3 linked regions of the Drosophila melanogaster genome follow. The protein of the gene in region 2 interacts with the protein of the main gene of each other region in a pairwise test. Each region holds a gene or a part of one and is shown on either strand. Other genes may lie near its edges. The genes, in order: LpR1, CG14054 and CG42299.

The links.
Region 1: the proteins of CG14054 (region 2) and LpR1 interact in a two-hybrid assay, tested with the Drosophila melanogaster proteins (one large-scale study listed by BioGRID).
Region 3: the proteins of CG14054 (region 2) and CG42299 interact in a two-hybrid assay, tested with the Drosophila melanogaster proteins (one large-scale study listed by BioGRID).

Annotation. Positions count from the first base shown.
Region 1 is NT_033777.3:25,757,305-25,762,427, reverse strand, and holds the start of LpR1 (lipophorin receptor 1), read left to right. Parts: upstream 1-2,105; 5' UTR 2,106-2,225; intron 2,226-3,142; 5' UTR 3,143-3,251; coding exon 3,252-3,636; intron 3,637-5,123.
Region 2 is NC_004354.4:2,064,645-2,068,358, reverse strand, and holds CG14054 (uncharacterized protein), read left to right. Parts: upstream 1-1,999; 5' UTR 2,000-2,120; coding exon 2,121-2,210; intron 2,211-2,252; exon of another isoform or gene 2,253-2,270; coding exon 2,271-2,414; exon of another isoform or gene 2,415-2,467; coding exon 2,468-2,601; intron 2,602-2,614; exon of another isoform or gene 2,615-2,655; coding exon 2,656-2,905; 3' UTR 2,906-3,086; downstream 3,087-3,714. Other genes in the region: CG4199 (uncharacterized protein), read left to right, coding at 1-1,650; CG4281 (uncharacterized protein), read left to right, coding at 3,368-3,485, 3,539-3,714.
Region 3 is NC_004354.4:15,574,443-15,577,553, reverse strand, and holds CG42299 (uncharacterized protein), read left to right. Parts: upstream 1-1,870; 5' UTR 1,871-1,890; coding exon 1,891-1,945; intron 1,946-2,003; coding exon 2,004-2,497; 3' UTR 2,498-2,607; downstream 2,608-3,111. Other genes in the region: cerv (cervantes), read left to right, coding at 1-402; CG9213 (uncharacterized protein), read left to right, coding at 3,056-3,111.

The sequences.
Region 1 (5,123 bases), on a different chromosome or scaffold from region 2:
ATTAAAGAACACTGATCATTATCTGGCCAAGCGATAGTTGATAGATGGGCTGGCCCTTCACGCCTGCCAAAACCACAATAGACACATATGTATGTATTGGTGTATATATATATGTACATATGTTTTCCTAAACTCACACTCGACAAAACTTGAACACACGGCACGGGGCTGCAGGGCGATAAAATGCAGTGTCAATTGAAGTGCTTGATTAGGCGATTTGCGAGCGATTCGCCAGCGATTTCCAACGCCTGCAATTAGAGACGGCGGCGCACTGCAAAATATACAGAATGGTTGGCAGGGGCGTTGGTTTGGTGGGGGTTTTCCGACGGCTCTGTCATTCACAAGCATCGCGGGGTGGTGCTTGAAAAATGATTTACACGCGCAAATCATAAATTATGCCCATTTCAAGTGGACCGTTACGCCGGAGAATCCATGACAAATGCAGATGACGCCCAAGCACCGATGACGATGGTGATTGCAATGCAATCTAATGGCTGATATGATGGTGATTGTGATTGCGGGTTTGATTGAGATTTCCATTGGTACTGGGATGCTGCTAGTGCCGATAATTGTTTTGAAGATGACGCATTTTAAATGACTGACCCTAACCGAACCCATTGTCCGCTGGCTGCGATTTTTCACCGCCTCTTATCATCGACGTCAGTCAACGCAACTCTAACCAAGCCAAAAGCCAATGAAATCAAATCCACGACACTCCAGTTCAATTTCGAATTTCACACCACTTTCAATCGGACCCACACCTGGTTTGATTGAAAGCGGCGACACTTTCAATGCTAATGAGCTGCGATTCCGTTTACCAATCGCCGAAAGGCATTTCAGTTCGCATCGGTCTTCGCTGGGCATCACACCGTAAAACCTTCCGGGTCCCAAAAAAAAATCAAAAGAATTAAGTATATTCAAAATACCTATTTGATACCTGGATATAGTTTCGGTGGGCCCATGCAGAACGTCACGACTGTCGTACGATTATCGGCACAATTCTCACGTCCGGTTGTCCAGCTTAATTAAAAAATATCTTTGTTTTTCGCACTGATAAACGCGGTGGCAACGCAAAAAGGAAGTCTAGATACATACAGTCTGAAAAACGTATTTTCGTACAGTACGATGTTTAAAAGTGATCTCTGTGTGCTGATTGTGATCTCCTTGGCGTTTTCCTTACATTCAGGTTGGTACTGTAGAAAATAGGATTTTTTCCGAGGTCTGAAACTGCTCTTAATTCGGAGCCCTTAACCACTTATTTTTAATTAGACTTTAATATCAGATTGAATAATTGGCTGACCAATTACATGTACATCTAAGTACACTTTGTGCGATTACCCTATATAACCTTTGTTGGTTCGCAAACATCATTCTCAAGTTAGCACTTGAGTCCTTCTTTTTCTTTCTCAGGGGATATTTGCCCAACTTGAGTATAAAATAACAAAACGTATTTTTAAATTAAAGTGGATTCTTGGCATTACGACAAGATAATTATCACTACTTATTCAATATATTTCCACGGAATTCTGTCTAGTTGTGAAATCAGTCGCAATATTCCGAAAGTAGTATGATCCCTTATCATAAAAAATACTTTAATTTCTAAGGCGTAGGTTTATAACTTAAGAAATGATTGATCGATTCTTAATAGCTGGGATTCGTTAGCATGTTGCTTTTGTTTTTTAAATAAATTATCTCAGTTGAAGAAGCATTTAAAATTCTTGTAGTTTTTAAACAATGCTTCTGTAATAGTTGTATCTATAGATCGCCCAACGATTCCTTGCCCAATCTATCCATTCACATCAACGTACGCTCCATTGATCACTGATCAACTGGTTTGCCTTAAGAGCACCTTGTACGTTAGTAATCTTTTGGGGAGCTAAGAGTGGAATACAGCATCGATTAAATTCAGAGAGTGCTCCGATCTGCCAGATCACTCTTTATGTATCTCTTCGACGGGGTCTGGTCAGTTTCTTGTCAGTTTTGATAAGGCCACCTTAAGACGGTGCAAAAACAAGCACAATCGCAAACGACAGTTACTCTCGGCTCTCGAATTAAAATCGCTGGCGATTCGCTTAAATTTGCAGGCCAATTCTCTAAGCGAATTCAGTTGAAAAAGGCGCGTTGTGCGAAACGGGCATCACAGTTTTTTGCGGTTTATTTTCAACTTAAAAACCAAATAAAAAACACAAAAGAAACAAACAAAGCGAAATAAAAACAAACCTCATGTAATTCAAACATTCTACAGATTTAAATGCAATGATCTGTTTCTGAAATAAATTTGGAAAGACGCGATTAGCACGTGCCGCACATTCGCAGACACCTTGAAAATACCGCAAAAATAAATCAAAATAAAAGGCAAAACTGATAAGAGTTTATTTATCCGGGCGATTTGACGCGTGCTAGCTACAAATATCGGCAACAACAATATTTAATTAATTTATTTGCGCGATCGGAGGGGGCGTGGCCGTCCGCTCAACTAAATTTTAAATTATACTTCGGCTTTATTAATTGCCAACGTCAACAGAAACGTTTTTGTTTCTCTATAAAAATTAAGGGAAAACTTGTTTTTCTTGCTAATATACAATTATTATCAAATATTTTACTTATCGTTTATAATTTCCATATTTTACTCAAAATAAATGTTATTTCTCGTTAAGTACATATATAATTATTTTCAAAGTTTAATATATAAATGAATTTTCTGTGTAATTTTATGCGTTGCTTTTTTTCTCTCTTCGCATTTTTCGGTGATTTTGTTGTTGTCCGATATTTTTGCTTAAATTTTTTTTTTTCGGCCTTTTCGGTTTTTGTATTTTTTTTTAGCTACGTCGCGTTTTTGTGTGTCGCACGATTTTCAACCAGTTTCTTCAGTCTTCTCATCTCGAAATAAGAAATGTGAAGAGAGACGAAAGTAAAAGAGAATTGGCCGGATCGTGTGTTTATTTTATTTTTTGGCTGGCAAGCGATTCTTCCAATGTTTTTGCGTTAATGCTTGCGTTTATTTTTACGTTGACGCTGGTTCTTTTGGCCATTTCTCTGATTAGATAATCTCTGGCGAAGATCTCACGCTTCCTGCTTAGATAATCTATTCAACCAGGGTCACCAGAAATCACCCCACTTAATTTTCCCCTATCGAATACAGTGTCTATACAAACCTTGTAAGATCGAAGTGATAAAAGTGTGAAAAAAGCATTAAACAGACAGCATAAATTAAAGCAAAAGAAGAGTGAAGGCAAGCAAAATACCGTACCATGGCCATAGAGTCACGCTCTACGAGCACTGCAAGTGAAACCACAAAAACCGCCATAAAATCAACCACAAGCTCAAAATCTCCAGTAACATTCGGTAATCTCGGCGAGAAAAGACGCGCCGAACAGCTGTTCCGCTGCGCATGCGCCAACTTCAATCTCCTGCTCCTGACTTTAATGCTCGGATTCGGCAAATGCTGCACTGCCACGCCCACGCCGCTGAACACGCCCTCAACGAACACGCCCACCTCGGCAGTTAGCCCACATAATCCACAAACGCTGGACGAGAGCGGATCGCTGAGCAAGGTGATCGATGGCAAAGCCTTCATCAACATGGGATTCAAGTTCCTCAACGTTTCCGGAAAGATTGGCACACCCCTCGGCATAGGTGAGAAATGCATTGGCTGATTGAAAAAACCGGCGAAAATAGCGAAAAACCAGAAAAAAAGATCGCACAAGGGGGGGCACAAAGTGCGATGTTTGTTTATAGCCTAGCTTGTGCTAATTTTAGACCACAGATGTCGTCGAGGTTGAAGTCGAAAATGAAGTTTGGATACCCTGGCTTGGGGTATATATAAAATGATTCATTTAATCTTTTCAACTTGATGCCTATTTACAAATATGTAAAATGAAAAAAAATTTGTATTAATAACTGCGTTGTAGAACAAAGTAAAGTACTTAGCTTGAGCTGATAACTTAAAATTAAAGCGCGTGCAATCGAATTACAATTTAATCGTTAAAGAATTATCAACCAATGCTAAGAAGCTTTTCATTAAACTTTATTAAGCTGATAGTGTTTGAGTATTTAGTTATTAAATTATCCCCAAGCCATTGAGCAATGTAAACGATTATTTCAAAATATTACATTATCTTCGCAACTCCAAGCAATCCTCTTTGAATGGAAAGTAAGCAGTTTTGACTTATATGAGTCAATAATAACATTTAAGATATATGGCCTTTCCATTATACTGCTTAATTTATAATCATCACAATCTTGGTCACAAGGGTATCACCTGCATGTCGAGTCATTCAAATGGCTTTGCTCACTTCACACTTCGTGCACTTAAAATGGGCTCAGTTAAAAAGATACAGATACAAGCACTAATGCAGTTGCAGATACAGATACAAAAGTGCACCTTCCACTTGTTGCACACACACAGACGGTATGCGGACCTACTGTTACCGTGGTATCGAAATAGCCGAGAATTTTTTATCCACTTCCGCATTGATTTCCGCCTGGCTGACCATCGAGAATCTGTATCTTCTAATGGCTAAGCGATAGGAAAAGCGTTTGGCGTCTATCTGTGACGTTATTTTGTGGCGCGGGGCATTCCAATCATAAATCTAACTTTAAATCTAGCCACCTGTTTTGGCCAATATGGATTTACGTTTAGTGCTAGCCCCGAACTGGGGATTATCTTATCGGTCAATTTTACGATTTGTTTTTATGCATTTTTCGACCGCCGGGATTTCGCGACTTGAAGATAAGTGGACAATAAAGGGCAGTCAGACAATAGAAATTTCCTTCTATAAATCAAGAATTAATGGATTGATAGTGCAAGGAGCTTTGAATTGGTGCCATAAGTCATTCAAATGATCTTGAAAACATATAGATAAAAGAATATGAAGTGTGAAAACTACGATTGTTATAAATTAATATTTAATTTTTAAGACGTATTAGAGCAGTTATCCTAACCAAAATAATTTATTTTTATTGTTCACACATTTTGGTTTGAAACTATTTTTAAATAGCTAAATTTTTTAAGCAGTTCGCACTTTTGAAAATCAATCAACATATTGAGTGCCAAAAAATAGTCTTAAGGCTAAATCTGCCACATTTACTTGCATTTTTGTACTTTGCTCTTGGGAATCTTG
Region 2 (3,714 bases):
GAAGAGTCTTCGCCGGATTCGGAGTACACAAGTGCGGTCCCCGTGGACTGCAGAGTTACGGATCTGAAGGAGAACGAAATGAAGCAGGTGGACTTCGATGAGGACACCCGCGTGCTGCTCGTGAAGCAGAACGATCGTCTGCTAGCAGTGGGTGCTAAGTGCACCCATTACGGAGCTCCGCTCCAGACTGGAGCTTTGGGTTTGGGTCGTGTCCGCTGTCCTTGGCACGGCGCTTGCTTTAACCTGGAAAACGGAGACATTGAGGACTTTCCTGGTCTCGATTCCCTGCCATGTTATCGCGTGGAAGTGGGTAACGAGGGACAGGTGATGCTCCGTGCAAAGCGATCGGATCTGGTGAATAACAAGCGACTCAAGAACATGGTCCGACGCAAGCCCGACGATCAGCGAGTGTTCATCGTGGTTGGCGGTGGTCCTTCTGGCGCTGTAGCCGTGGAAACCATCCGACAGGAGGGCTTTACTGGGCGCCTAATCTTTGTGTGCCGCGAAGACTATCTGCCCTACGATCGCGTTAAGATCTCCAAGGCTATGAACCTTGAGATCGAGCAGCTGCGGTTCCGCGACGAGGAGTTCTACAAAGAGTACGATATCGAACTGTGGCAAGGAGTCGCCGCCGAGAAGTTGGATACCGCTCAGAAAGAGCTGCACTGCAGCAATGGCTACGTGGTGAAGTACGATAAAATCTACCTGGCCACAGGCTGCTCCGCCTTCCGGCCGCCTATTCCCGGTGTTAACTTGGAGAACGTCCGCACTGTCCGAGAGTTGGCGGATACAAAGGCGATATTGGCATCGATCACCCCGGAGTCCCGCGTCGTCTGTCTGGGATCGAGCTTTATCGCCTTGGAGGCAGCTGCTGGGTTGGTCTCCAAAGTGCAAAGCGTCACGGTTGTGGGTCGTGAAAACGTCCCACTTAAGGCCGCATTCGGCGCGGAGATTGGTCAGAGGGTGCTCCAGCTGTTCGAGGACAACAAGGTGGTCATGCGCATGGAGAGCGGCATCGCCGAGATCGTTGGCAACGAAGACGGCAAGGTATCAGAGGTGGTGCTGGTAGATGACACGCGTCTGCCTTGCGATCTGCTGATCTTGGGCACTGGCTCCAAGCTCAACACCCAATTTCTGGCCAAGTCGGGCGTGAAGGTAAATCGTAACGGATCCGTGGACGTCACTGATTTCCTGGAGTCCAATGTACCCGATGTGTATGTGGGCGGTGATATAGCAAACGCCCACATTCACGGGCTGGCCCACGATCGCGTGAACATCGGGCATTACCAGCTGGCTCAATACCATGGACGAGTGGCGGCCATCAACATGTGCGGCGGGGTAAAGAAGCTGGAGGCCGTGCCCTTCTTTTTCACCCTCATCTTCGGCAAGGGAATTCGGTATGCCGGGCATGGCTCTTACAAGGATGTGATCATTGACGGCAGCATGGAGGACTTTAAGTTTGTGGCCTACTTCATCAACGAGGCGGATACGGTGACAGCGGTGGCTTCGTGCGGCCGGGATCCGATTGTGGCCCAGTTTGCCGAGCTAATCTCGCAGGGCAAGTGCCTCGGTCGTGGCCAGATCGAAGACCCGGCCACCCGTGAGGACTGGACAAAGAAGCTTGGCCAGCCGTTGCCCCAAGTTCGCTAAATAATCAACTTAATGTGTATTACCGCTGAGATTTGTTGTTATATTTTCATGCAATCGTTGAGTATTTATTATGGGTACTCGTATGCAAAACTCTATAAACGTGTAACTATATCTGTGTATATTTATAATTGTAGTTGTGGGGACTTCCTTGAGTTCCCGCCGCGGTTGCCACTTTTGGCCCAAGAGATCAAAGATGTAAGCGTTTCATTCCCTTGCCACACAATGGCGTATTGGTTTACTTTTGCTAAATAAAGAATTTTAACGTTTCGTATTTAAAACAATAGTTTTGGCTTTTTTCCTATTGATGAATTTCAAACAAGGTCGTTAGCTCCTCGCTTCACCCGTTAACTTACAAACGGTTTTATCCGTGAGTATTTCCGTACTTTCCACACTTGCTTATTTTTACACAGTCTAACTAATTGTTCGCGTTCAAACCGAAATTCCAAATTAGGAACGTAACTCTAGAATCGATGGCCTCACCTAGTCGGAGTTCCCAGCGATCCCTGCTTAACGCAGGCCTCCAATTGTTTACCACAAAGCTGGGTAGGACCCAGCACACGGTATGGCTTTTGAAAATGGTCATGTGGGGTGTACTAACTTACCACTTTGTCGGCGAATAGCTTCCGCTGAGTGATTTATCCTCGCTGCATGGTGTCGACCTACATCATCAGAATACTGTACCGACTGGGATGTCCCAGCAGCTGGCGGATGTCCAGAAGCGCACCCAATTTCTTGAGGAGCGGAACCGCCAGCTCAGGAATCTGGTTTGTAAAGATTCGTCCGACCACTGTTTGTAGTAAAAGCAGTTCCTCCTCAGGCGCTGGATAAATCTGACCTCTTCGAGTCACGAACTGCCATGCTGTGCTCCCGAGCTTTCGACATCAGTCAGGAACTGTTCGTAACCAGGATGAGGATTAACGACGTGGAGAACGCCTGCACTGAACTTCGAAGGTATTGTACTGACCGCAGTCGTCTAGTTGGGCTATCTAGTCTGTTCTTCCACAGTCGCATCCTGGACGTAAAGCTGCGACGCATCCAGCGTCTCCGGCTCCTCTGCCACGAGATACAGAAACTGCAAGAAGCACTGGAACACCAGCTGCCCCCGATCCTGATGCACGTCTGGCACAGACTTTGTTTCCTATGGAACTGTGTGGACTGCCTGGCGCTTGTGTCCTGCGGGGCCCGTCCCGTCTTCGAGGCAGAGAGCAAAATGGATAAAATGGATGCCCTCAATCTCTTCGTGGCGGGCTTCTGACATGTTCCGCCTTGTCCTGGCCCTTTAGTATTTTAAACACTGGTTATCGAGCACCGCCGAGTTATCGACAGTAATCGGCTAATCGAGTCGGGAAAAAGTTACTTTAAACCATTGTAAATCACTATAGAATACCGACACTGAAATGTAGAATGTAGTCATAAAACTTTTTTATTACGTGTTTAACCATTCTGCGACTAGTTTTTTTTTGTGCATAATATCGTAAAGCTTTAGCGATTATTTTCGAAACAACATATCGCCATATCTACTGTTGCGATAACTTTCGAAGTTACCTATCGAACTGTTTGAACAACCGATGGTTTTCGAAGACACTATCGCAAATCGCATACCGAAGTGATTTCTGGTGCATTTTTGTTTCTTGTTTGTGCACGTGCAGAACGCAAATAAATGCGCCGAGCCTGAGTCAATGCGAGCGGACAGGAGGACAGCGGATAGCGGGCGGCCATGGATCAATTCTCGCACGATCTGACGTTGGCTCTGGACCTGACGCTGATGGACAGGGCTAGTGGCGGCGTCGGTAGGTGGGGCTCCCGCCGCAGGACACGTTCCACGGGCAATCTGCGTAAGTAGCCATCGCACGCCGACTCCTGCTCGCGGTAACCCCCCTCTGCTTAGCCTGCGCCCCTCAGCCCACGGAGGACTCCTCGAGCAGTCCCACGGATGCGCTAAACCAGGGGCACCATCACGGGCATCATGGCCACCACCACCATCACCACCACACAAGTGCCAACGTGGACGGACTGGACACACACAACCTTAAGTTGCCAGCCAGCGACTCTGACGAAAAGGCG
Region 3 (3,111 bases), about 14 Mb from region 2:
AACTCAGCCGAGTTCAAAAACTTCATGAAAGCGGCAGCTCCCCAGGCGGGTGCGGAAACAAATGGTCAAGCGAATAGCGCCGCCCATGACGAGGACCTTATCATGGAAGCCACCGGCGGCGAGGTCTTCTCGCTCTACGATCCCTGGTCCAAAGCCTTGATAAAGAACCCCGTGCGCAACAAAAAGTGCGGCCACATCTACGACCGCGACTCGGTGATGCTGATCATCACGGACAACATTGGTATTCGATGCCCAGTGCTCGGCTGTCCCAACAGGTCCTACATCCATCCAGCGCACCTGGTCAAGGACTCCAACCTACAGCAGAAGTTGCAAGAGCGCATGTCTGACGCGATCGAGAAAGAAACTTCCTCGGAGGAGGACGATGAACAGGCAGATCATTAATTATGCGCAACTTCCTTCTTGTCGACTAATAACGCAGCGTAAGATATCACGTTCTTGTAAGACAACCATTTGATGAAAATTTAAGGTACAACGAATAAACATGTTTTAAAAATAGTCCCGAAAAAATTTAGAGAAAATATATTAGAAGTGCAGTATGCACGTATGTATATAGTTTGCGATTTATTTAGAAAATTGGTACAAATGTAGAAACAAATGAATATATAGCACGATTGCCATCGAAATCATCGCCGAAACATTCTAGCGAGTCTTTGCCGCAGACGATCCACATCAGACTCATATGGCACCAATGGCACCTTGTCATTATCCGGATCGCTACTATCTTCAGAGGAGATCCAGACTGATTTACCATTGCTAAGCTTCGGCTCTGAATCCCCGCAAGCCATGGGGTCCTTCAGCATGGCTGCTTCCTCATTGTTTTTGGTTTTTTGCCGGAAAAAGCTTCCGGCATGGGTGCCTTGGTCAATGGGCCAGCTGTTGGCGACTTGCGCTGGAAATCTCTACAAATAACGAAGAATCTATCGGGAGCGGTGAACGGAATAATGAAATCGGTGAGCTCTATGAAGAATCGTAGGACTTCATTGTTTCGTTTAGAAAACCTATCAACTTGTATGCGTAAAGCATTTTCTTGAAATGGTCATCTTAAAAATGCTGTGCTTTGCAAATAGTTAAGTATTATCCGCTCGGATATGTGAATCAACTGAGGTCCTCACGCCAAATTATAAATGTGACTTGTAGACTGCAAAGTCATCGCCTTCTTTTTTGAGTTCTTGACACAAGCAAAAAGGGTTGCCATGGCGTTGTCATGCCCTTGGAGATAAAACCTCTAGACTCAAATATTCTTATTATGTTCCGCTGACATAATAAGTATTAGTGTTTTTATTTCATAATAAATTATGCAATTTACAGCATCGGAAATTGGTAGCTTCAGTATAATATTATCAAATATATTCAGTTTTATACCCGTTACTCGTGAAAGGGTATAGTAGATTTGTTAAAAAGTATGTAACTGGCAGAAGAAAGCGTTTCCGACCATATAAAGTATATATATTCTTGATCAGGAACAATAGCCGAGTCGATCTGATCATGTCCGTATGAACGCCGAAATCTGAGGAACTATAAAAGCTAGAAGGTTGAGATTAACCATACAGATTCTAGAGACATAGACGCAGCGCATGCCCATATTGCCACGCCCACTCTAATGCCCACAACCCAACAAAATAAAATAAATAAAAAACTTCCCCATGTTCAAAATTCTACCGATCCGCCATCTGCACTAACTGACCGACGCTAACTCACCTACGCTAACTTGACGCACATCACGATTATTAACGGTTCTCAAAAGAACGATTACACCCTCGATAGGCTGCCTGTCGAAATTATCGGTCCTAGCTTAACCGAAGCGTCAGTCTTGACATTTCGATCTAAATATTCTGGATTTGCAATTTGAAAAGCGTCTGAATAAAATTTATGATCAAAATGGACCCGAAATCCCACCAAAAGCTCTTCAGGGAAATGGCAGAAGGTGAGCCATGTGACAAACCGAGACATCTTTAACATCTTTAAAACACACCCACCCACAGTCGTGTCCAATTCCAGCGATGACGGGGAGAAGTTGCTAACCAAAAACTCTAGCAACACCATCGAGAAGTCCGAGGAAGTCTGCAAGGAGCGCCCCGAAGCTGTGGAGCAGATGCGCATCGATGTCAATAACTCACTTGAGGACACGAACTACATGAATGCGGTGGAATCAGAAGCTCAAAAGAATATCGCCGGCCTTGATGAGGACCTTATCATGGAAGACTTCGGCGTCGAGGTCGTCCCGTTCCACGATCCCTGGTCCAAGCTCCTGATAAAGCACCCCGTGCGCAACAAAAGGTGCGGTCATATCTACGACCGCGAAACGGTTTTAATGATCATCAAGGACAACATTGGCATCCTATGCCCGGTGCGCGACTGTCCCAACTTGTCCGACATCAAGTTAGAGCACCTGGTCAAGGACCCCGACGTGGAGCAGGAGTTGCAAAAGCGCAAGTCCGACAAGATCAAGAATGAAACTTCCTCGGATGAGGACTAAGAACAGGCAGGTCATTAATTATATATAAAAAGCGCCTTTAAACTTTAGATTTTAATATGACTTCAAGTCTTGTTGAGAATTAACTTTATAAATAAAAAACACTCCTTTGGAATTTTTTGATACTTTTTTATACCCGTTGTAAAGTTAAAGGCTATACTAGAATTGTTGAAGTGTATGTAACAGGAAGATGGAAACGTTTCCGACCATATGAAGTATATATATTCTTGATTAGGATCAATAGCCGAGTCGATCTTTTCATGTCCGTATGAGCGCCAAAATTTCAGGAATTATAAAAGCTAGAAGGTTGAGATTCACCATACAGATTCTAAAATTAAAATTAAATTAAATTTATTAAATTTCGCTTTCGCATTCACACTAGCCGAGTAACGGGGAATTTGACTATATCATTCTCTCTTGTTGTATATTGCAATCAACTTTTCAATAGTGAGTTAAGCGATATGTCTGTTATTCAGTAGTGACTTAAGCGATATCACTGTTGTGCATATTTGTCCATCTCTAACACTAATGTTTTGGTAAACAAGAAGAACCAAATTAGACATGAGCTACATACAATTTGAAAGCGGCAGAGAAAAGGATAAGGCGCGCCAGGAGCT